Linked DNA regions of Schizosaccharomyces pombe. The gene in region 2 interacts genetically with the main gene of each other region. Each region holds a gene or a part of one and is shown on either strand. Other genes may lie near its edges.

The links.
Region 1: of scr1 (region 2) and sds23, a mutation in one rescues a mutant of the other (synthetic rescue), as found in Schizosaccharomyces pombe (one study listed by BioGRID).
Region 3: of scr1 (region 2) and tup11, changing one enhances a phenotype caused by changing the other (phenotypic enhancement), as found in Schizosaccharomyces pombe (one study listed by BioGRID).

Annotation. Positions count from the first base shown.
Region 1 is NC_003423.3:947,086-954,064, forward strand, and holds sds23 (protein sds23), read left to right. Parts: upstream 1-3,691; 5' UTR 3,692-3,738; intron 3,739-3,794; 5' UTR 3,795-3,795; coding exon 3,796-5,022; 3' UTR 5,023-5,207; downstream 5,208-6,979. Other genes in the region: GTPase-activating protein Gap1, read right to left, coding at 1-317; origin recognition complex subunit Orc5, read right to left, coding at 5,731-6,666, 6,707-6,781, 6,835-6,979.
Region 2 is NC_003423.3:1,749,327-1,757,876, forward strand, and holds scr1 (DNA-binding transcription repressor, glucose sensing, Scr1), read left to right. Parts: upstream 1-2,766; 5' UTR 2,767-4,262; coding exon 4,263-5,960; 3' UTR 5,961-6,293; downstream 6,294-8,550. Other genes in the region: pfd1 (prefoldin subunit 1), read right to left, coding at 7,184-7,346, 7,498-7,664, 7,762-7,770; protein Fis1, read left to right, coding at 8,481-8,550. UniProt on the Schizosaccharomyces pombe protein: Involved in carbon catabolite repression. Represses the transcription of various genes including the inv1 gene.
Region 3 is NC_003424.3:297,506-305,456, forward strand, and holds tup11 (transcriptional corepressor Tup11), read right to left. Parts: upstream 4,292-7,951; 5' UTR 4,207-4,291; coding exon 4,083-4,206; intron 4,016-4,082; coding exon 3,931-4,015; intron 3,907-3,930; exon of another isoform or gene 3,759-3,906; coding exon 2,123-3,758; 3' UTR 1,773-2,122; downstream 1-1,772. Other genes in the region: SPOM_SPAC18B11.11 (GTPase-activating protein), read right to left, coding at 1-1,281; SPOM_SPAC18B11.09C (serine O-acetyltransferase activity), read left to right, coding at 5,656-5,726, 5,829-6,135, 6,211-6,288, 6,347-6,514; protein pat10, read left to right, coding at 6,958-7,030, 7,169-7,226, 7,266-7,355, 7,414-7,450, 7,495-7,524.

The sequences.
Region 1 (6,979 bases), 800 kb from region 2:
TAATTATCATTCAGTCGTTTTGCAAACTCATGCTGTTCTTCTTGTGCCATTCGATTTTGGATAAGAAGTGCAATTTTGGAATCAAGGTAGCGTACATCCCTCTCGAGGACGAAGTTTTGTTTGGACTGACTGGATATTTGTTGTTTGAGATCATGCAATTCACGATCCAAGTGGAAAAAGGCATCCTCAACGTCGGACTCCATATCAAGATCGATTGTATAAAGCACAGAGGTGCTTTCACGATTCCTTAACAAGGACAATCGATTTGTTTGCGGAAGCACCGACGAAGATAGGGTACCAGAGTGCCGCTTAGTCATTATAAATTTCAATAGCTAAAAATTGCCTAAGTAGCTAATGAACAAGAGAGGGTAGAAAAAAAAAAGAAAGAGTGTAGGGATCAAGTCAAAGTGTAAAAGAAGAAAACAAGGATGGATATTATACTAAGTTTTCAAACAAAAAAAAAATAAAATAAAAGAGAAAATCATCAAAAGAACGTTATTAGAGGAGATCGGACAGAACCTATTGGTTCTATTAGCAAAACACAGTATTAAGACCCACTGGCGCCCGATTAAACGATTAAAGAAAGCGAAATTCTTCCAAAGAAAAAAGAAAAGGATATAGAATTTATAACGTTATTGAGCAATTCAATAGTATTTGAGCAAAGCGTCCGAGTACGTTAACGTGAAAGGACGTAGGTTCAATGTGACAAATCTGGGAAAAAAAGAGAACAAAGAATAAAATGCTTGACAAAACACAAAAACAGGGTAGCAAAATGATATTGGACGAATAAAATTTAACACAATACTAGTGAGTGTTGTATATGAAGGTAGATGTATATGTATGTGAAAATAAGTAATGCTTTGTAGATGGAATAATATATATAAATATTTAATATTTATATATTTTTAAACAAAAATTAATAACTGGCTTGCTGAAGCAGCAACAAAATAAAGATGAGAAAAATTAAAAATTTTCAAGAAAAGATACTCGAGAAATTAAGATTATTATGTTGTGATATGAGATATCAGAAAAAACAAGGATGCTTGTTTAATTTTATAGTCTTTAAAAGCGTCTTTGAGGATTTCTGTATGTACGAAGTCTTGGGTAGAAAGGCCGACCAAAGGGTAGCGACTATAAGCGATGTAAGGTTTAATGATGTGGAAAAAAAAAATGCCGACTTAGTGAAAGTAAATATGTTACAATACAAAGTGGTGAATTAAAAAAAAAAAAAAAAAAGAGAGAGAAATGTAGAAATTTTATACATGAGAATATGTTAAACAAAGGACAAAATCTAATAATGTCTGCTTAAGACTGGTAGGTACATGTCATAGAAATAATTTACAACGTATATCAATTAATTCAATTGAGAGAATATCTAGTACGAAACGTTAAGTGCTTGTTTAATATGCGCCTGAAGTTTTTGTTTGGCTTGAGCTTTGTTTACATAGCAAGGACAAGACAGAAGCTATTATGGTATTTAGTGGAAATTCATTGTTTAATAAAGTGCGCAGCATTATATCAGATTTCCAACGTATTTTAATATTCGATAATGTATTAATGATCAATTAAAGAAACTCTAACTAATTTTTCAATTGGTAATTCGTTATTTGTAATGATTCATTTATAGATTTATTTTATTTTTTTTTATTTTTTTTTTAATTTTTTTTTTACACTAAGCTACTGGCAGTTTGTACGTTAAGCAAATACAAAGTCGCACGTGGGTGTTTTACCAAAAAGAATTGCGAGTGAATAGGATAAAATGGACGATGAATTTGTAGATTTTTTTTACTACAATTAATCAATGAAAGGAGTAAAAATTTAAAAAAAAAAAATAAAAAATAAATAAAAAATAAAATTAAATAAAGGACAAGATGAAAACTTATTATATGAATTATGGATTTACTTTATTTTATGCTCTTACAAACCGTAACTGGACTGCTGGAATTTCTTCTACTAGATGAGCGTCTATTTGTGTCCTATATATTTAAATTTTATTTTCTCAAATTACATATATATATCAATATGTTATTTCGATTATTTTCGATTTTAATTTTGATATTTTGGAAATTCACTTTATCTTCTACATAATCGCATTTCCTATATCAATCATCATCATCATTTGGACATCTTGGATCCGCTAATTATAGTAACGTTGTATTTTCACTTCATATATCACACTTTACCATTTAACTTTCTTATGGTACGTCGAGTGAGACACAATCGATACCTTGTGTTCTTCAATAGCTATTCCCACAGCACATGAGTCTTTTTACGTAACCCAATAACCTCTTCCCCGGAGTGATCTGTAGCGGACCATTTACTCAATATTGAAACTTTTTAATTACCACGTTGAATCACAAATTGCCAACAAAACACAAGCGCTTTATTTATTAAACGCATCTGACGTTTCAGTATGTGAATTTCTATTACTAGTAGTATGGTATTTTGTCGCACTTCAAATTTGGCCACCGTTACTATATGAGACGAAGCAATACGTAGCAGTAATGTATTTAGTACTCATTTATCAATGAAAAAGATCAAAACAAGAGATTAACTGAGTGATATTCAATAGGATTTGCTAAGTGAAGAGATGATCAAACATTTAATGCTGACTTGGTCATCTCCAACCTATATTACATAGATTTGATTTCTCCATGTTTGGGGAGAGAAATTAGACGAAGGGGTGGATTTTCATTCGTTTCTTCGACAAATAAGTCTTGAGCAAAAGTCCACTCAAAATTCGAATGATGTATAGCGCTATAGCAGTGGTAGAAATATCTGTTGTTTATGATTGCCAATTTTGCTAAGCAATGGTAATGATGATCATCTGTGTAAGTACTATGTATAATAATTAGAGAACTGAGTACCCAATATTATAGCATGCATTATTATGCTTACAGTACGAGATTACTCTCAAACTAACTAATAAAATTAATTACTTGATGACTTGACTTATCTATTCTCCTGCCAAATTATCAAACAACATAAAGAGTAAATTTTAATTTTTTTTTCAAGATTGGGTAGATGCTGTTCGGTATCGCAACGTTGAATTATGTATGTTTCATACTGCGTCTTAATATTATTTAGTACATATGAATGTGTTGACTTTGTTCATCCATAACTCTAATTCAAAAGCATTTTTAACAAACAAAGCGCTTTATTGCTCCATAGGCGCGCCTCGTTTCATCTAATCACTTCATCGTTGCACACAAATTTTTGTTTGCCTTTTTGCAATGACAAAATTAGGATTTTGTTGTGCAAAACCGACCTACACTGCATCTACAACTAGAGCAGCTGCCCCACTTTCCCACTTTATGAACAAGGAAAAACGTCCGATTAACCGCTTGGCTATTTTTCTCTCATACTAAATCCATCCTTATGTTTAATTTTAATTTTTAAATTTTTAAAAAAGAATAAAAATTTTTTTGCCTAGTTTTACCTTGCTGGGATGAAAGCGGGCAAGCAATGAAATAGTGGTTGATTGTGATGTAAATACTGAAATCGCAGATTATGAAATTTTTAACTAGGCCACATACATGGTGGATTAATTAGGTAGACGGTGGTATACGGCGGGATTTACAGAGATCTCAGTCTAATGTGGTAAAGAGGTCGTGGATTAAAAAAGCCTTACCACTGCGTACCCCTATTTCGTTGTATCACTAGGTACTTCCGTCACTGCCTACCTCAACGCTATCCAGAACCACACACTGACCTAGATTTGACAAACTGCACGGTACAGTAAGTTTTGTTGTATGCAGAGGAAAGAAAGAGATTTTAACTGGAAAACTGTATAGAATGCCTTTGTCAACTCAATCGTCTGATTCTTTATCGAGCGCTGGACGTCAGTCCTTTGGCGTGAACTCGGTCTCAGATTTTTTGGCACAATTTCCCATTCCCACTAATCTTCCTTCAAATAAATGGCAAGATATCCCTGTAACATTTCTTCATGATAATGAAATTGCTCTCATAGACCCGGAAACTTCCATGGAAGAGGCAAGTTCCATTTTGATCGACCGAGATCTTAGCGCCTTGCCTATTGTTGCTGCTAAGGGAAGCAACGAGATTGCTACGACCTTTGACTATGCAGATCTTAACTCATTTTTGCTCATGGTAGTGGGTTTTGATGATTTCAATGATGGCAGGTTTAAAAAGGTCGCTGAAGATATTCGTGCTGGAAAAGTCATTACTGCTTATGAGGTTGCAAAACTCGGGAAAAACAAGGATGACTTTATCACCATCCCTCACACCACCAGCCTTGGACGTCTCGCTGAGATTCTTTCTTCCGGTATTCGTCGTGTTGCCGTCACTAACGAACAGGGTGAATTGAGCTTTATGGCTTCTCAGCGCTCTATCATCCGCTTTTTGTGGAATAATATTCGTGCGTTTCCCGATTTGGAGCCTCTAATGTCCAGGACAATTCACTCTTTGGACATTGGAAGCACTGACATCACCTGTATCTCTGGAGATCAAAAAGTCGCCGCGGCCTTGCGACAGATGAATCAAACCGGTATTGGTTCACTTGCTGTTGTCGATGCTCAATTCCGGTTACTTGGCAACATATCTCTCGTTGATGTTAAATACGTTACACGTTCTTCTTCTGTCTATTTGTTAAACAAATCATGTGCTCACTTTTTGAGTGTCATTAAAAGCGAACAGGGTATCCGCGCTGGTAAGGATAGTGCTCCTGCTTTTAACATCTATGAATCCTCTACTTTTGCTTTTACGTTGGCTAAGTTGGTGGCTACCCAATGTCATCGTCTTTGGCTTGTGCAGTCACCTTCCTGCCCTCCTTCCCCAAAAAATAACGCACATCTTTCCCCTGGATCCATGGGTGGTGTTAAGGTCAATCAATTGTTGGGCGTTGTTAGCTTAACTGATATCATATCTGTTTTATATGCTCACATGAAAGGCACTCTTCCACCCGCTCCCCATAGTGCTCCTTCGCTTAGACATGGACGTCGAGGAAGCACAAGCAGCCATCGTAGCCATAGCAAAGCTAGTGTAGATACACAACGTCGGTGATGCTAAATATTTGATGATTTGAAACACCCTTTTTTCTTTTTCTCATTTGAACCTCCGTTTTATTTCATCTTTTACTGTTACCTCTAACATTCCATATTTCATGAACGGGTTTTGATACTTATTTTTAATCATCTTTAAATGGATAAGATTTTGGTTAAATCTCCAATGATTTCTTATTAACCATTAAAAATATACTTTTACTTATGTTTTGACGTTAACTGACGGACGCTTTTCTTTATACATATGTTCTTATTAATGAATTGTCTCCCGTTGTTGATTTACACGGCAGCAGAGTAGCTCTTTCAGAGGGTTAACTTTTATATCAGAGTTATGATTGAAACTTTGCCTCTTGATATATATTATGTATCCATCTTAGCAGCACATTACTTTATTTTTTTGTCAAGAGTGTTTTCGGCGCTAGTTTTTGCTTTTTACAGCTTTGCCAACTTCCATAATGTTAAATACGTAACAGTTTACACAGAATCACAGAGGCGTAATCGAATTGTTTGTAGTGTACATTTTCTTTTATTTTCCAGAAGTAACAAAAAAAAATATGTTTTTTAAGTTTTGGGCCCTTTAAACAGTAAAATAACATGTTATGGGGAGATAGAATGGATGTTCATATAGTTCTGTATAAATTAATGAATTGTGACAGAACTACGATATTCAAAATTTCAGTAATGCAATAAAATAAACCATAATACTAAGCTATCCCGCCAAATAACTATCGAGAGGAAACGAAAGTGAATCTGCGATTTTTAATACATATTCGCGAGAGACATTGACAATGTATCTAGGGCTATCCAAAGAGCGAAGCACACCTTTGGAAGCCGAAAGTATCATTTTTAAGGAGGCGAGTGTAGCTATTTGAACAAAAACATCAGCGGTCAGAACTTTCTCTACCGGGGAAGAAATGGCATAATAAATAGCAATCAACCTTTCTACTTCAAAAGGTTTAGGTCCTAATGTAAGTTGGGATATTTTTACAGCAGACCGGCCTTTGCTCCCAGCGGTTCTTGGTATTTTGGAAAATAAAACCCCTTCATCTTGAATTTGTTTACGTTTTCTTCCACGTCGTTTCGAAGTTTTAGAAAATGAAAAAAATTGGGCGTCTAACCGGCTTGGATTATAAGATGCTAGGAATGCAGAAACGAGTAAATATTTGGAAACGAGCGACAAGTTAATAGATTTGGAATCAAGAAGATTTTTTATTTCAGTCGGGTTGATTATGTGAAGTCTTTTAGTAACCGTAGCATCTGACACTAAAAAGTTTTTAGCCAGCTTGTGAAGTTGAGCATAATCAGCAGGATGTATGTCTCCTTCAACTATAGGTTGAATGAACTTTGGCCAATATCTATCCAAAACACTACGAAAAGACCTATAGTCATTTAAGCACTGCACTCCAAAAACACTCCAAAGAAACGAGCAATATTGCATCCAGACGCTGAGCTCAATTTCGTCTTCAAAAACACTATCGCCAGATCTATCCAAAAAATCTAAATTAGGAGGTGTTTTTTGGCATATCTCTAATATTTCCGCTTGGGTATATTGTGGGAAAAAAATCACTGCAATAGACAATGTTCCCAAGTATTGAGCAGGGTGAGAATGAAGTACAAAAATGATTGACAGATTGGGAATGTTTGCCTAAAATAGTTAATCAGTGGGTCTGTAAATATTTACTTACAACAATCGGAAGCTGAGCTAATTGTGAGAATAGAATAGTAGAAGCCTCAGCGAAATCATCTATTTGATCCAGCACCTATAACTCATATTAGTATTTAAGAGTAATAAAATAGGAGAGGAACTAAGTACCAAAAATGTATGATAGTCCCTTTTGGACATTGCCTGTTCCAGTAAATAAATAAATCCACTGATATTAATGCCTTTTTTTAATGCTATATCTTTGTCAACACCGACTTTTATAAGGATCCGGTACCAGAAATGAGCGACTGTAAAA
Region 2 (8,550 bases):
AGAGAGAGAATAAGAAAAAAGAGCGAGGAAGAGTGGAGTGGTTGAGGGGAATAGTGGGGTGAAAGGAGGAGGAAGGAAGAAGGAAGGGAATGCAGGGAGTGATCGTTAAAGATTTGGAAGAGAGTGGTTGAATGAAACGGTGAATACGATAGTGAAATAGAAGGAGTCGATATGAGACTACGTGGATTGTCTTGTCTTACTAGTTCTAGGTAAACATCTGTAGCAAAAGATTGGTTCCTGCTGTTTGAAAATCATTTCATTTATTGGAGAATACGGTGGAGAAAGGAAGATCGCTAATAAGAAAAGGGAGAGGAAATTATCATAGGTTATGTTTGTTTTATTTTACATTGATCTATTGAAAGAAGGAGGTGCAGAGCGATTCTTGAAAAGGTCGTTTACGGTACTATGTTAGAAATTGTTAATGAATCTATTGGAAAAAGAAAATCACCCCAAGCGCTAACAAGTTGAAAGGAGCAGGCAAGAGAGAGTGCAAGGCAATAGACGGATGCAGAGTTGTGGCAAAGGAGGTGCGGAAGGAGCAGTGCGGTGAGGTAGAGAGGTCGAGAAAGCGACACTGTTGTAATAGGAAGAAAAAGGAGTGTTAGGGATGGCAATGGCCGAAGAAGCAAAAAAATAAACAAACAAGAAAAAGAAAAAGAAAAAAGACAAAAAGACAAAAAGAGTAGGCAATACACATGAAGAACAAATGATAAAATAAAAACTAGACTACGAAATAAAAAATAAATACTGAACTGTGAAATAAAAACTAAATTATGAAATGAAAAAATAATAAAATAATAAAATCAAAAAAAAAAAAGAATAATCATAATAAATGATAAATTAAATTTTTTCTTTTTTTTTTTCTTTTTCTCTTTTTTTTTATTTTTCTCATTTTCTGTCTCCTTTTTTAATTTCTTCAACCTGTCACATCATGAATATTGCTGCTGCCTTCTTTGCAGTCGAATGAAGAAATTAAAAAAATTTCTTTCCCACTAATGATGCTCCAATTGGGGTGGTAAAGGTTTGAGGGATGAAAGAAAAAAACAATTTTTTTTTTGCTGCCGATGTAGCGACGGAGGAATCTGTCACAGCAACAGCAACGATAGTAGTATTCCATCGTATTTTATCCCATACCATCATCATATCTCGTCCATTGTAGCTAGTAATAACACAATGATCCTATATGATTTGAATCAATACTGAGTGTGCTAGATATACACTTATACTTTTTGCTTCACTCTTAAATTCTCACTTCTCTTAAATGTTCACTTCTCTTAAATTCTCACTTCACTCTTATACTCTCACTACTGTAGTTTTTACTACTACAGTATTGATTACTACTACCAAATAAGGGGTATTTTCTTCCTACTGTAGCATAGTCTATTCTACTCTACGCTTCACTGCACTGCACTGCAATGTATTACACAAGCAAAATCATTTAACAGTCCATTTCTCTGTATACGCTACAATGCCTTATGAATGTTTAACATTTGACCAAGAGACTGTGTTTCACAGCACTTGGGGTTCCCCCACTTGACGCCTTGGGCTAAACACTGGGGGGGAGAGAAGGAGGGGGTTTGCATAGGGAAGAGGAAAAGACGGTTATGTTATTGCTTGATTAAGGAATTTCTTGTTTTATGGTTTCCTTAGTAAATGCCGCCATTCGGTGACCTCCACCTTTGGTGTCGAGGTTGAGTTTTCTAGATAAATAAACAAGGATGCTACGCTCGTCATCGCCGCTCATATCGACCCTTTTCAACAAGTTCTGGCTTGGACGAGTTTGTCCAGTTTAGGGACTCTCCGCAGCTTAATAAATTTGACTCCCGGAGGAATCAGAAGATGACGTTGACAAGAAAAAGCGGACACATTAGGGCTAAAAAAGCCAAATCGCCAAAAGTCTCGAATGGGGATGCGTTGCGATGCGATAAATGAGAATTACGAGTCGCAGTACAAGCACGGTCGAGAGAGAGAGAGAGAAAAAATGCAGTAGGAGGAAATAGAGAGACGAGATAAAGCGACAATATAAAATTCAAATAAAAAGACTTCGAAAATGGATTCAAGATTGTAAAATATGCACAATCATCAAAATAATTACCCAATTCATCTTTACAAGAATATTCAATTCATCTTTACATTATCACTATAATCATAACCACAACTTTAACCATCAAAACAATACACACCAACAAGAAAAATTCACTAAATTCTACCACCTATACATATTTAAAAAACAAACAAACAAACAAATACCAACACCAACACTTATATTTCATATGCTGTTCACCTCTGGTATTCCTCTTGTCTATACCTCTTCTCTTCTTCTCTTCTCCTCTTCTTCTCTTCTCCTCTTCTCCTCTTCTCTCGTCTAACTTTGCTTCACCTTGTTTTCTTACCTCTCCCCTTCCTCCTTCCTCCTCCCTCTCCTTCGCTATCTTCTCCTTACCCCACACCTCCCCACCCTCTCTATCCTTCCTTTAACCCCCCATCACCATTGCCCTCGTTAAGTTACTTTTTAGACTTCTCTCGTTAACCTTCATCCTTTCGAGCGCTCCGCCTTTCCACCTCGCCCATCTCCTTCCCCTCCTACCAGCAAGCGCCACCATATTTCTCTATCGACTGCGTTATTCTGAATTACAAAGTGGATCCCTTCCTCGTGCTCCTTTTACCCCTCCCTTTTCTCCAATTTTACCATATCGCAACTGCACTCGAATACGTAACAGCATATATATATACGAAACGTACCGCCCGGAGATCACTCCCCTCCTCGAGTATTTAGCTAACCCACACCCCGCGTTTTTCATTTTTAACCGCACACCACACCACCATACTCAAAGTAAATCAAGCTCCACCGGTAGTATCCCCATACTACCAGTGTGTGACAAAGTGAAAATTTTTTAATTTCAAGGCTTCAAGACTTGTTTGCTTGCTTTCTTCCATTTGACTTGGGTTTTCATAGCATTTCCTTCAGTTCTCTGCGTTGCCTGCTACTTTGGGATTTCCTTAGAGTCGTAAATTTTTTTTTTTCTTTCCCAATTTTTTCAATTTTCTCTTTTCATTCTTCCTTTTATTATTATTTTATTTTTAGTTTTATTCTATTTTATATTTTTCTCCCTTTCCTTTCTTTTCCTTCATTCTTCTTTTTTGTTTGTGGGTCTGTTTTTATTCTATTTTTTCCTCTTCTACTTCTTCTGTATTTTCCTTACATCCAACTTTGGAAAATCTCATCCATCCGTCTTACATTGCCTCGACTTTGTATCGACTGTTTTTTTCTCACCTCATCTGCTTTGCTTTGCTTTGCATTTTCGGATCTCAATCCGGTTCCTGTTGTATTCGGTCCGTTAATTTTTAAATTTGTCGCCTTCTCGCTACATCATTCCTCTCTTCGTTCGATCGAGGGATCCGTCTTTTTTCTTTCGTCAACAAATTGACTTGTCTATTCTTCCTCCTCTTTCTCCTTTTCTTTTTTGTCCATCCATTAGTCCTTCTGTGTGTTCGTCTTCCATTGCCACTCACATAATCGTCTTGTTGGATCCTTTTTCTTGACTCCCATTCAATCGCCTTTTTTTTATCTCTTCGTATAACTTGTTGAAAGTTTGGCTGCTTTTTTCTTTTTCAAGCTTTCTTCCTCTTCGTCCTATACTTTACTCCGCCTTTAGAAGCTTTCTTCCCATCCGCCATATCTATATCTATTTTATCTATTATTATATATAGGTGATCTTGTTATATTGTTTTCCTTTTCATTGGTTCCTTCATTGGCATTTTCTATCAATCTCTCTTCTTCGTTTACATTGCCTTCCTCCTCGTAAACATTTTCCTTTTTTGGCTCTCATCTGTCCAACAAAGGATCCTGCTTATTCCTCTTTTTTACTTCAATTCTTTTTATTATTATTTACAAAGTTATTTTTTTCCCAAGTTGTTTTCGTAATCTTTGGAACTTTCGTTTGGGCTCCTTTGAAGCATTCAACTATATAACTTTGAATTTTATTTTTTCCAATCCTCTCTCATCGTTGAAATTTCTTCTCGTTATTAACTAGAATTCCTCTAATCTTCTTTTTTTTCTCTTCCAGCGATTTTTTTTTATTATCTTCACTATTACTATTATTATTATTATTATTATTCATTTTTTTCTTTAAACGGTCGTTTCTTTCTCTTTCTTGGGTGAAATAAGCTATTTTTTATTAAATACTACCCTTACTCGTGCTATTTTTTTCTTCTCTTTTTTTACTTCTCCTTCTTTGCCGTGCTCTGTTTATTACTTCGTCATGTCCGAAGCCACCACTGCCACAACAACCGGTAAGCCATCCCGCTCTACCAAGAATCCTGACGCTCCTCGTCCTTACAAATGCCCACTATGCACCAAGGCCTTCTATCGTTTAGAGCATCAAACCCGTCATATTCGAACGCATACGGGTGAAAAGCCTCATGTTTGTACTTTTCCTGGGTGTGCCAAACGATTCTCTCGTAGCGATGAATTGACGAGACATGCACGCATCCATACAAATGCAAACTCTAGAAGGAACGCTGCTGCTGCCGCTGCCGCTAATAATTCTGCTAGAAGCTCCAATTCTCCTGCTGGCAATTTAGAACCATCTACAAACAATGCTGGTGTGCATATGACCAATGCTTCAATGAATCCTAATGTGAATCCTTCCTACCCCGTGTTCATTCCTCAAGTTGGCATGTCGGTTGCACCTCCCGTCGCCACTGCCGCCGTTTCCATGAGTTATCCTCACCATTACTCGGCTTCAGTGCAACAACAACAAGCTACTTTCGTTAGTAATGGACAGCCTCACAACCTACCCGCTCAAGCTCAACCTGCCACTATCTACGGTATTCCCGATGCCCTTCATACCACTCAAAATGGTACTACAATCCATGTTACGGGTACCCCTCCGGGTGCTGTTTCTCAACGCTCGGAACCCGATTCCAGATTGTCGTCCATGAACGAGATGCAATTGTTGGCTTCAGCGGCTGCTAATCAATTGGATGCTGCCCCTAGAATCACTCCTACAAAGTCTTCGGGTGTTAATTTAATGCCTTTATCTAATGCTCCTTCCCCACCGAAGCAGATGAATGTAGTAGGTAGTCTGCCATCATCATCCAATACTTCTCCTAATCATCTCGCATCGGTTCCCAATAGAGGCTTAACTTCTAACTCATCCACTGGTTCATTTACAAAGTATACTAATGGCTCGAGCAACTCTTTATATAGTAATTCGTCTATGCAGACTCCCTATCTGCCTAGCAAATCTAACAGTAGTACTAGCCTTCATTCAATGTATGGCGTTGGTACTACGGCTTACGCTCCTCAGTCTTTACGTTATGCCCATTACAACTATTTGCCTTATTCTCGACCCAGCGTATCCAATGGCTTTGATGATGATTCTTCGTCAAGTGATTTTGCCCATTTCCGATACCAGCGTCGCTCTCGCCCGGTTTCCCCCTGCAGCACTGCACCGAGTAGTCCTACCTTTTCCACTAGGAGCTTTAGTCCCACCCCAGACGTCACACCTCTCGTTACACCGGCACATTCTCCTCGTTTGAGACCCATGGATGATCCATCTTGCGTTCAATTACCTTCTATCCGCTCGCTTTCTCTACGACCTTCTCAAGTTCCGTTAATTCCTCCTTTGAAGTGTGATCCTAACGCCTTTTCCGCGTCTACACCAGCCTCTGGTGCTGTCTCTCGTACTCCATCGTCCGTCTCTCTGAGCTCGCTCTCCAACGTTAATAGCAGCATGCCTCACAAACCTGCATCCCAGTCGAATGTTGGTCCAGTCCGTATATCATCGAATCGACGATCACGCAAGTTCTCCTCTTCTTCGCGTGTGAGTGTCAGCAACCTTTTGGCCGGATCACCGCCATCTCCTTCTTCATCCACAAAGTCGGCGTCGTCTTCCTATTCCACCACCACACCGGCATTTTCAATAGGGCCGTTAACTCCTATGACCAAGCCCTAACCCAATATTTGCGCTGTGAACGCTAGTTACCTTTGCTTCCTTTAAACCATCTAAACACCTTGGTTGTGTGTTATGCTATTTTATAAATTAAGTATTAAATTTTTTATTAGTATCATGAGTCTCGACATTTGAGGTTCCATTGTTCAGTTTTTCTTTTTTTTTTTGTTTTAAATTTTTTTTAAACTTCTTGGCATATAATTAGTAATGTTATTTTGTGTTTATTAGACTGCTTTCATAGGTGAAAATTTATGTTATATGTTTAAATTACTTCTTGATCAGTGTATGGGTACAATAGACCATAAACTAATAAAGTTATTTTTTTTTACCGATGGTGTTTAATCCTTTTTGCTTTTATTTAGCTAAATTTATTGTATATAAAGTTGTCTGCAGATCTTATCAAAAAGTTGAACTGCAGGATCTACATTAATGACTTTAACTAGAACTACAGCAAATTACCATCATAATTTAACGGCAACTTCACAATTCGTATATAGAATTATTATTTTAATTCAGAAACAAACATCTGATATGAGAGACCTTCAAGTCCTAATATTGTCGCCATAGTTAATATTAATACATTACTACATACTTTGTTAAACAATGATTAGTGACAGTTCGTTTCGGATAATTTTATTCATAAACTATAAGTAAGCTATAAACTATTCCTTGTGCATCTCTCAAAAAGAAATCAGAAGTTAATGGAGAACAAAACAGCTTCCACACAGTTAATGATATCCTTGAAAAAATATAGAACACCTTAAAGTATGGGTCAGTAAAACAGCCAACACAAAAGTCAGACAAACAGACGTTGAAAAAGAAAGAAACAAAAGGGAACGAGAAATCTCAGACTGACGTGCAAATCAGATGGAAAAAGTTTCAGCATACGATGCTCAGTTGAACTATGCTTTTTTGGAATCATCAAAGAAATCCTTTCTCCATTTACTTTTCCAAACGTCAATTCTAACAGTAGAAAACTTACCTTAAAAGTATAACATATACTAAATTCACAAGTCTTCAAGCTTGAAATTTAAGTATCCATACACAAAAGCGCAGTCACAGTGATCAAAATTTCGGCTCACAAATGCCCCAGTATTTGTTAGAAATGCAAGAAGATTAATGGAACAAATTTACTTTAATTCTACAGTTTTAAAGATAAAAAAGAAAGTCATAAACTTTCCAATCCCATAATCCAATTTACCAATGAGATGATTATAATTGATGTTTTAAGAAATCGACTCTTTTATCTTTTGTAAATGCTGCTCAGCATTTGAGGCCGTTGTTTCGTGATATGTTTGTTTCTTTTGTAGTGCTTCAATATCTTCTCTTAAACTTGCCATTTCTGCGTCCAAATGTGTACGTACGGAAGCCAAATCGGATTTCATAAACCTGTAAATAAACAGTTAGTAAATGACTTTACATATAGATTGACAGTACGGTCAATTCCATTCCAAAAGTGCTGTTTTTGCTAATTCCGTATTCTTTCCCTATTTTTATAGAAAAGAAAATAAAAATACATGTTTCATTTTATGACACTTACATCTTTCCAAGAGAAGTATATACGGCCTTATCTTCTCCAACATCCTCTAACTCTTTTTTGGCTAATTCACTTATTTTTAGTGCCCGTTCCTTGGCAGCAATCTGTACCATTATGGTCCTCAGTTGTTGCTGTGAATCAACCGCTTTCTCTTGTATTTGACTAGCTAACTAATATGCCCAAAGCTCATTAGTTTACCATGTAACACAGTTAAAAAGAGGGAAATTCCTAACAAAATAATTCTCTTCTCAATGATGAAATACGTACATTTTGCATTATTTAAAGGAAACTTGGGTATATCTCAAGAACTTATTTTTTTTGGATTGAATTGCTCTTTCCAAAATTATGGTACAAAGAATAGTCCTTTTAATACTTTTTTTATAGACAAATCAAGAACTTTTTCAATATATTTGAATATACCACCTTTACAAGTATATCAAGTCTTAGGCAAAATGTTGGTTAGGCCTTAAGTACAAAGCTGGCATGTTACAAGCTACTTTACACTGCTTTTATTATCGGTACGTTTCGCAAATGTGAATTACATAATACGCCACAATTTGTAATAAATATTTTGTGAAATGTTTTGCCATATCCTTAAGTTCTTCCTTACATAAATTGTTGGCGATGGCGTTCACAAACGAATCTTCATTTCATTCCTTCTCTGTTTCAAATTTTTGTGGAAAAAGCATATCCATATTCTTACTAAATCGGATTTCTGGACTTTTCTATTGCTTTGGAAATCCATTATCCTTGTAGTTCACTCATTTGCGCCTCAAATCCTTTATAATTGGAATTGGCTGTTTACATTGATAATTTAGCATTTTTGCATCATACTCAACCCTTTTTTTCTTCTTTTATATTTGAGTTGTTGAATTTTTTTTCAAGTGACTGTAGTTTTTTCAACATTTTCCGTTTATTTATATTAATCCGCCTTTAAAATAATTAAGGCACATTCAAAGACCAATATAGGAAGCAATAACGACATCATGACTGAAAAACACACCCTTCGCCTCGCTGATCCTTCTGCTATTGATTCAATTATTTCTGTTGATGAGT
Region 3 (7,951 bases), on a different chromosome or scaffold from region 2:
GCTAAGTGTAGGGGTTAAATATGAAAAATTAATTTTCAGGAACTCATGAAACTTCTCTAGAACAAAATGATTAGAGTCTGGTTTTAAAATTTCGTTAAATAAAAGAAGATGTTGTAATTGATACGATGCAATAGACTCAATTATATTAGGCTCAATGTGCTGCCAAGTTCCAGGTCGGTAATTGAGAGATTTAGGAAGTGATGAAGATATTTCAACAAGCAAATCTAAAAGGCTGATCCATTCATCTGCATAAAGCACTTCAACAAAAGAACGGCGCTCCAAAGCATTATATAAAGAACGAGTGGTTTCTAAAGCTATTCGACTAGATTTATTCTTTAAGGATCTTTGAAGGAATCCAAGCAGCATTCCTCTAGTGCAATACACTGATCTAGGGATATCGGTAAAGAGAGCACTCACGATTTGAATACCACCCATAATCGCTATATAAGAACCTTCATCTGTCTCTTCCATTATCCGTTTTAGGGAATTAAGTGCTTCGTACTTGGTCGCTGTCTTCAACAGTTTCTCAACAATCTGCTGAGCTGATTGTGAGCTTGCGACTAAGCCAAATTTTGCTCGACATACTACTTCAACAATAGAATACAAAACAGCGGAAGATATGCGACCATAGGATATAATACAATTTAATAACGAAAAAACTAATGCAATGTCTTCTTCATCGGTGGTGCTTTTTGAGACCCACACACAATTCGCTAGCATAGAAGAAACCTCCATTTCATCAAATAAATTAAAGCCCACCCTGAACATATTCGTAAGCAAGAGAATTATCTGACGAAAACAACGGGTGTAATTTCTCAATTCAGCACTTCCTTTGAAGGATTTTCTCGACTGAGCTCGCATATCATCAATAATCGTAAATAAATCAGTCAACCATTCAGACAAAACTTTAAGTATGTCATTTGAAAAAGACTCAGTTCTTTCGCCTTGGGATGTAATAACAATCAAGGCGTCTACAGTAGCAGGATAGTATTCAGAATTCGGAACCTTTGACAGCTCGTTGAATAATAGTGCACGGTCATCGGAAGACATTTCTTTATGCTTTTCAGCTGCATGAGTCCATAAGGAAATAGTGGCTGCCAGTATGTTTCCGTGAACTTTATTTTCAATAATGTCTTTAGTGGAATCAACAAGTTTTTGTAGGATTACATTTTTACAAAACTGCTCATTGTTGATGAGCCTTTTTATGCGTTTGTAGCGTTTATCCAATGACTGTTGATTCGATATTTGGGTGAGAATCGTGTCTATATCCAAAGCCTTCATAGCTTAGATATAAATCGATGCAGCAAACAACGACAATTTTTCTTTAACCCAAACGTAATATAGGTCCTGGGTTGGCACCGATTTAAGTATTAAGATTTTAAATATATTTAAAAAGTGCTAAATTAAAGATTTAATGAAGTAAACCCAAATTATAGACTGCTTAAGCCGTGGAGGATTATTATAAACTCCTGAAAAGATAGCCTTAAGAAACGTGCAGATATCGAACTGTAACGGATTGTAAAAGCACACCTCAATATAGCATCGATTAGGATTTATTCAATTTCTATGTTTTAGTCAATAAAATCGAAACAATGAGTCTTCTTCGCGTTGAAGAAGTCAGAAGATGGTTAATACATACATAATTTTAGCGAGTATATGATAAATCTGTTGGTGAATTTCGGAGTCAAGGTGGAGATATGCAAATTACTAAATACAAGAATAACCATTTAAAAAATGTTTAATCAACCACATGTATTTCAAGAATCTACATTGAAAAGTATTAAGTATTATCTCAAGTTATGCAACATTTATCATAGAACTAAAATTAAAAATTAAGGAATTTTTTATTAATTGTTTATTTTTTAAATAAAAAGTGTCTCAGTTAATTTATGAGAGAAGCCATTCTCCAAAATTAGTGACATTAAAAAACTGAGTGATGATTTGTCTATTGTGACCGTAAGTAAAGGAAATAATATTGCAAAAAAAATATGATACAAATTAAGGAAATATACCAGTGTAGTAATAGAGTTTACAAAATTTAGTTTGTAAACTTTGTAACCAAAAATCAATGCGGTTAACTATTTCCGAGAGCAAATAGTTATATGTAAACAGGAACAAAAATTCAAGGAGATGCAGGGTCAATTGACCATATGCGAGCACGTAAATCACCACTTCCCGAAGCAAATTGCCTACCATCTGGGCTAAAGCATACGGAAATAACTGAATTCTTGTGTCCTTGACAAGTGAGATAAGATTGGCCTGTTTGCAAATCCCAGAATTGCATACTTCTATCCTTCGATCCGCTTAATCCCCAACGGCTGTCGGGTGAAACAGCTACTGAAAGAACAAAATCAGTATGTCCTGTATAGGTGGCTTTGCAAATACCTTCAGGCTTAATAGCTGAAAGGCCAACTGAACGAGTTGCTTGTAATTCCCAGACTTTGATAGTCTTATCAAGACTTCCACTAAGAAGAATGCTGCTGTCGGGCGAAAAGGCAATAGAATAAACACTCTCCTTATGACCTTCCAATCGTTCAACCAAAGTACCCGACACAGACCATACTCGAATTATCTGATCTAGACTACCAACTGCAATGAATTGATCATTTGGAGAGATGGCTATTGCCGTCACACCATTCTCAATTTCTAACTTTAAAATACATTGACCTGTCTCCACATCCCAGAGTCGTGCAGTTCGATCGCCACTACCAGAGACGATGAATCGCCCATTATGGCTAAAATCTAAGGAATAGATATCTTGTTCATGACCTGAAAATACGTAACGAACTTTTTGAGTTGAGAGATCCCAGAGTTTTATTTGACGATCTTCTGTTCCCGTGACTAAATACTTACCATCAGGGCTGAAAGCAATGGTTCTCACATACAAATCACGGGAAGGATCAGGTGATTCTTCATGCAAAGTAAAAAGTTTTTTGCCAGTCTGAACATCAAAGACATTAGCGGCCTGGTTACAGCCAGTTGCTAAATACTTGCCATTGTTACTAAACTTAACGCAGCAAACAACACTGGGATGCTCTAGTGTGTGCACGAGATTAATATTAAAAACCCTTTTGCATGCTGGGTTATAAGTGACGTACCAACTCTGAGAAGTTGTCTTTCTAGCAGCTTCTGTATCTGAAACTGGAGCAATCTGTTCTCTTCCCTGATATTCTCCATCAGGACCCGCTTGGGATATAGAACCAGCATTCGCAGAAGCAGTCATAGAAGGTTCAGCCGAAGGAGTTGCTTTGGTAGGAATACGCGGTGGCTGGACATTCACAGCAGGTTTTGAAGTAGCACTTGGATTATAATAATTGGAAACACCAGGCAATTGAGGATTTGGTTGTTGAGAAACCTGATTTGCTCCGTAATTAACAGGAGGGATATATAAAGGTGTAGTACTAGGTAAATTGGATGTAGATATCGCGGGATTTTGAGAAGCAATTCCCTGATTAAAATTTTGCCCGCTAGAAGCCTCTACTGAAGGAGGAATTGGAGGCATCAATACTTCAGCAACATTATTTTGAGGATAAGCTGATTGGTGAATTGGAGGGATTTGCTGAAAGGCAGGTAGATGGTTACTTGGAGGCTGAGAAGTAGATTTGGTTTGAGAGGGATGTTCCTGATCAATATGGGTAACTTGATTATTAGAAGCGGCAAGTTCAGATCTTTCTCCACGATTTCTATAACTTGCGGTATTCGCTTCGACACCTAATTCTTCAAGCTCTCGCTTCAACTTGTTGATATCTTTTTCGTACCTATAAATGTTAGTAAATTGGTGAAGACAGATGTTATAAAGGTTTTTTTTTTTTTACTTCAAGCATATAAATCTCGAGCGACACGTATGCTATTATAAAATAATGATGAATTTCACAGAAAAGAAGTAGATACTATATAATCCCTCGATACCTTTAACATATAAAAACTTACGTTTCTCTAATAGATTTTTGTTTTTCATACATATCATCCACGGTTTTTCGGAACGCTTCAATTTCTTGAATTTGAGATTGTATCACTGCAATAGAACAGAATGTTAGTTTCCAAAAAATAGCTAATTTAATTTATTTTATTCAAACACGTACTAGAAGATTCATAGTCGTTTCCGCGCGCCTTGGACGCGAAGCTATGATGAGCCAAAGCATTGTATTCAGCCTTCAACGCATCCAGCATTTCTTGAACTTTCGTGGCATCCTCCACTGACGCCATTTTTTTTTTCAGTCAGACTTATTGCAAAAACTGAATCCGATTGATATACGCCCTTTTACAACAATAGCAACACTTGAATTGTGGTACAAGAATAAACTTGTGTTCTTGAACGTTTGTAGCAGCACTTTTATCGAGCGGCTCCTTGTGCTGCGCTAATCTTTAAATAGAGAATGTGGTGCTACATATTTTTGGTTGAGCAAGTATCACAAAATTAGTATGGCGTGTGTGTTGGCAACTTGTCCCAATTATTTTGAAATTCATTTGAATTATAGAGAAAAGCAATTCGAAACCCTTTACTGTTTGATTTTTTGTAGCGTTTATATTATTTTTTTGAATATAGATTTTCTTGCTTTTCAGTTGATGTTTGTTATAAAAAAATAGTTATAACTTTGAAACGTAGTGTAATTCATTTTTTTTTTATTGATGGAAAAATTTGTTAACCGTTTTTATATATCAATATAAAAAAATTAAAATTTGTGTTTAATCAATTTATTATCTGATCCTTGTTTAATTAGATTGTTTACCGACCTTTGTAAGACATTATTACAGTGAGTTTTATCTTGATAAGTATTAATTAAAAGTTATGATAGTATTTAACCCGTAAATTCACATTTCATTTGCTAATGACTCAGTTAATCATAAGTGACATTATTTGTTTAATGATGCGAAATTTGACGCACTTTACTGATATTAAAACATTGTTGGTTGTCTTAAAGATGCTTTTTTCATATAATCTAGTTATCATGAAGAAGGATGAAAAAATCCCATAGTTGAAATTTATTAACACTAAAGCAAAATGTTTAAGCGCAGCAAACCGAAGCCGTCAGAAATTGAGCATTTAATCTGACACGATATGCCATTTACACTTCAAGGGCGATTAATAAATACACTTTGGATTTATTTTTAAATCATATTTATTGCTTATTTACTTATCAATTTTTGTTTGATGTACTATTTAAGTTGTTTTGAATTTTTTTTTTATATGACATTAGTTTGGGATTACTACCCAGTTTAATCAGTTTAATGATACAGGAGGAAAGCAAGATTAAAAAAGGGACGGACAACGTTCATTGCATATCTTGTTATTGCTTGTCAGTTTACGGCCCTCAGCGTTTGTTAAGCTACACTAACTATTTACTTGTAACTTGATAAATTTTGGTATGCTGGTGGTAATACGAGTAGGGGCCAGACATAAAGCAATGCGACAATTAATGATATGTTGCATAGTGGGGCATAATGTAGTGTAACAGCTGACGCTATATATCATCGAGATGTTTTTACTTACGTTTTACAAACTATTTCACTAAAAAGTTTCCGTATAGTTTTATCAGCAATTTGTTAATATTGATATCAATACATATATATATATATATATAAGTCTATTTATACATCGATAACTCTACTAGTCCCATTGTCAATGCTAGTGAATATACTTGTTTTCCGACAGAAATGACTCGTACTCGTGTACAAAAAATGATACCGAAAACCATTGAATACCAAAAAATGATATCTGGTCAACCGTAAGGCTAATGCTTAAAACTTGTCGAGCTAATATATCATCTTCGTTGACATGTTTGAAGTCACATTGAACGCAGGGAGATATTCTAATTACTAAATAACAGGTACAAGGCTTACGACGAGGAGTTGACTCAAGCGAGATGTAATGCTAAAAAATTAATGCGAAGGTTTAATGACACTATGGGAGATTTGGAAAATGTAGGCCCAGCAGAATTGATTAAAAGACGAGCTGAACTGTTGGCTGAAGTTTTTGTATTTGACGAATCTTCAGCACCAGAGATTGAGCCACCTATGGCTTTTGATTACGGATTTAACGTTCATTTTGGAAAAAAATTCTTTGCAAATTATAATTGTACATTTCTAGATGTTGCCATAATTACTATTGGTAATAATGTAATGCTAGGCCCCAATGTATGTTTATATATATATATAGTTACTTTCAAGTCATTCATTCAAAAAATAAATATACTAATGGTGTCTTTCCAGGTTCAACTATGTACAGCAACACATCCCTTGGATTTTAAAGCAAGGAACTCCGGAATTGAATTTGGTTTACCAATTAACGTATGCGTTAGTCCAGTTATTGAAACATCTTACAACTAACAAACAAAATTTTATCAAGATTCAGGACAATGTTTGGATTGGTATGGGAGTTATAGTTCTCCCAGGTGTTACTATCGGGGAAGGCAGTGTAATTGGAGCGGGTGCTGTTGTTACAAAAGACATCCCACCTAATACGTTGGCTGTAGGATCACCTGCCAAACCTATTCGTAAAATTGAAAACGAGTGAACGAGTGTAATTTTTTTTTTTATTATTTCATCTAACGATTAAATGCTCTTTGAACTTCTTAAGTTCACCTGGCTTGGTTCCTAAATTTTTAAAATAGTATAAATAATATTATATTATGTTTGAGCTTTAAATTGTTATATAGAAGACTTAGAATGCTAAAAGAAATCCATTTCTCACTCGCCAAGTAGGATCAGTTTCCTCCTATGACTTGCTAAAGCCCCCACGTGGTACTGCAATCGATTTTAATTCTAATGCTTAGCCAAGTCTAAAATAGTTGAAATTCTTAGTGGGATAAGAACTCTTAACCCCCACGATATATTTGAATGCTAAATAACCTAACCTAAAACCATTTTACACATTTTATTACTAACTTCATTATATTCTTGTAGAGGAACCATCCCATTCACCAGTTCTGAAGTCTCGACAACGAAAATTCATAAAATATGGCGCCTGCAGAACTTAAACGACCTGATTTAATCGTTCCCTACAAAGCTAGAGTCAAAGCAAATGAAGAAGGTAAAGTAGAAAGCACTTTCAAATTGAACCCAATCGTGAGTTACGCTGATTTAATCGCTCAAGCTTTAGTTCATTGTGGAATATTTTAAATCCTTTCTTTCGTCAAATAATTTATTAAGTTTGCTAACCCTATTATAGTTGGCTTGAGTTTGGTAAGCACAGCCACGTGTATGGCTGCTTTATTTCTTCGTTTCAAGTATGTAAGATATTTTAGGATTTTCATGTTAACGAGAAGATTAATTGCATGGGTTGCTTTTATCCTAACCTTTTCAAATTTACTGAACGCAAATACGTCTCCCAGCTCATCTCCGACTTCAATGGCTTTGTAAGTAATCCTAATTCATTGCATTAATGTAGTTCTATGGATGTTAACATTTGATCAGTATGGGTATCGCGGCTCTTGTGTCAACATATTTACCGGTAAGTTGAATTTTTATATTTACTTTGTCGATTAACTTGTGCAGCAATTTTTAAATACTCCAAACAAAACTTAGTAATTTTTAAGTCAGTGAATTAATAAGAGTATTAAGCTGATTTTTTTCTGGATAATTAAATTTATGCACAATGTAAATATCTAATGGTGAAGAGTTCAGATACATTTCTAACTACCATTTCAATCACGTAGCAGACGCGTAAAAAATTGGCTGTTTGTGTTTTCTCATTGTTAAGCTAGTGAAAATGTAAATTTATTTCTTACATCCTGTTGCTCTTTCATTTTTTCTTCCTAATGTATTTTAGTTGCTTTTTTAAACCCAATGAGAACAAAGGCTTAAAGTAAATATATATAATTTTCACATGTTCAACAGTTTACCGTTAACAAATGCACGGACCTTGATTATGATTAATGGTTGAATGAAAAATATCAACTTTCCTTATCTTTAACTATAATTTAAATGAAGTAGTAGTTCATTAATACTAAAG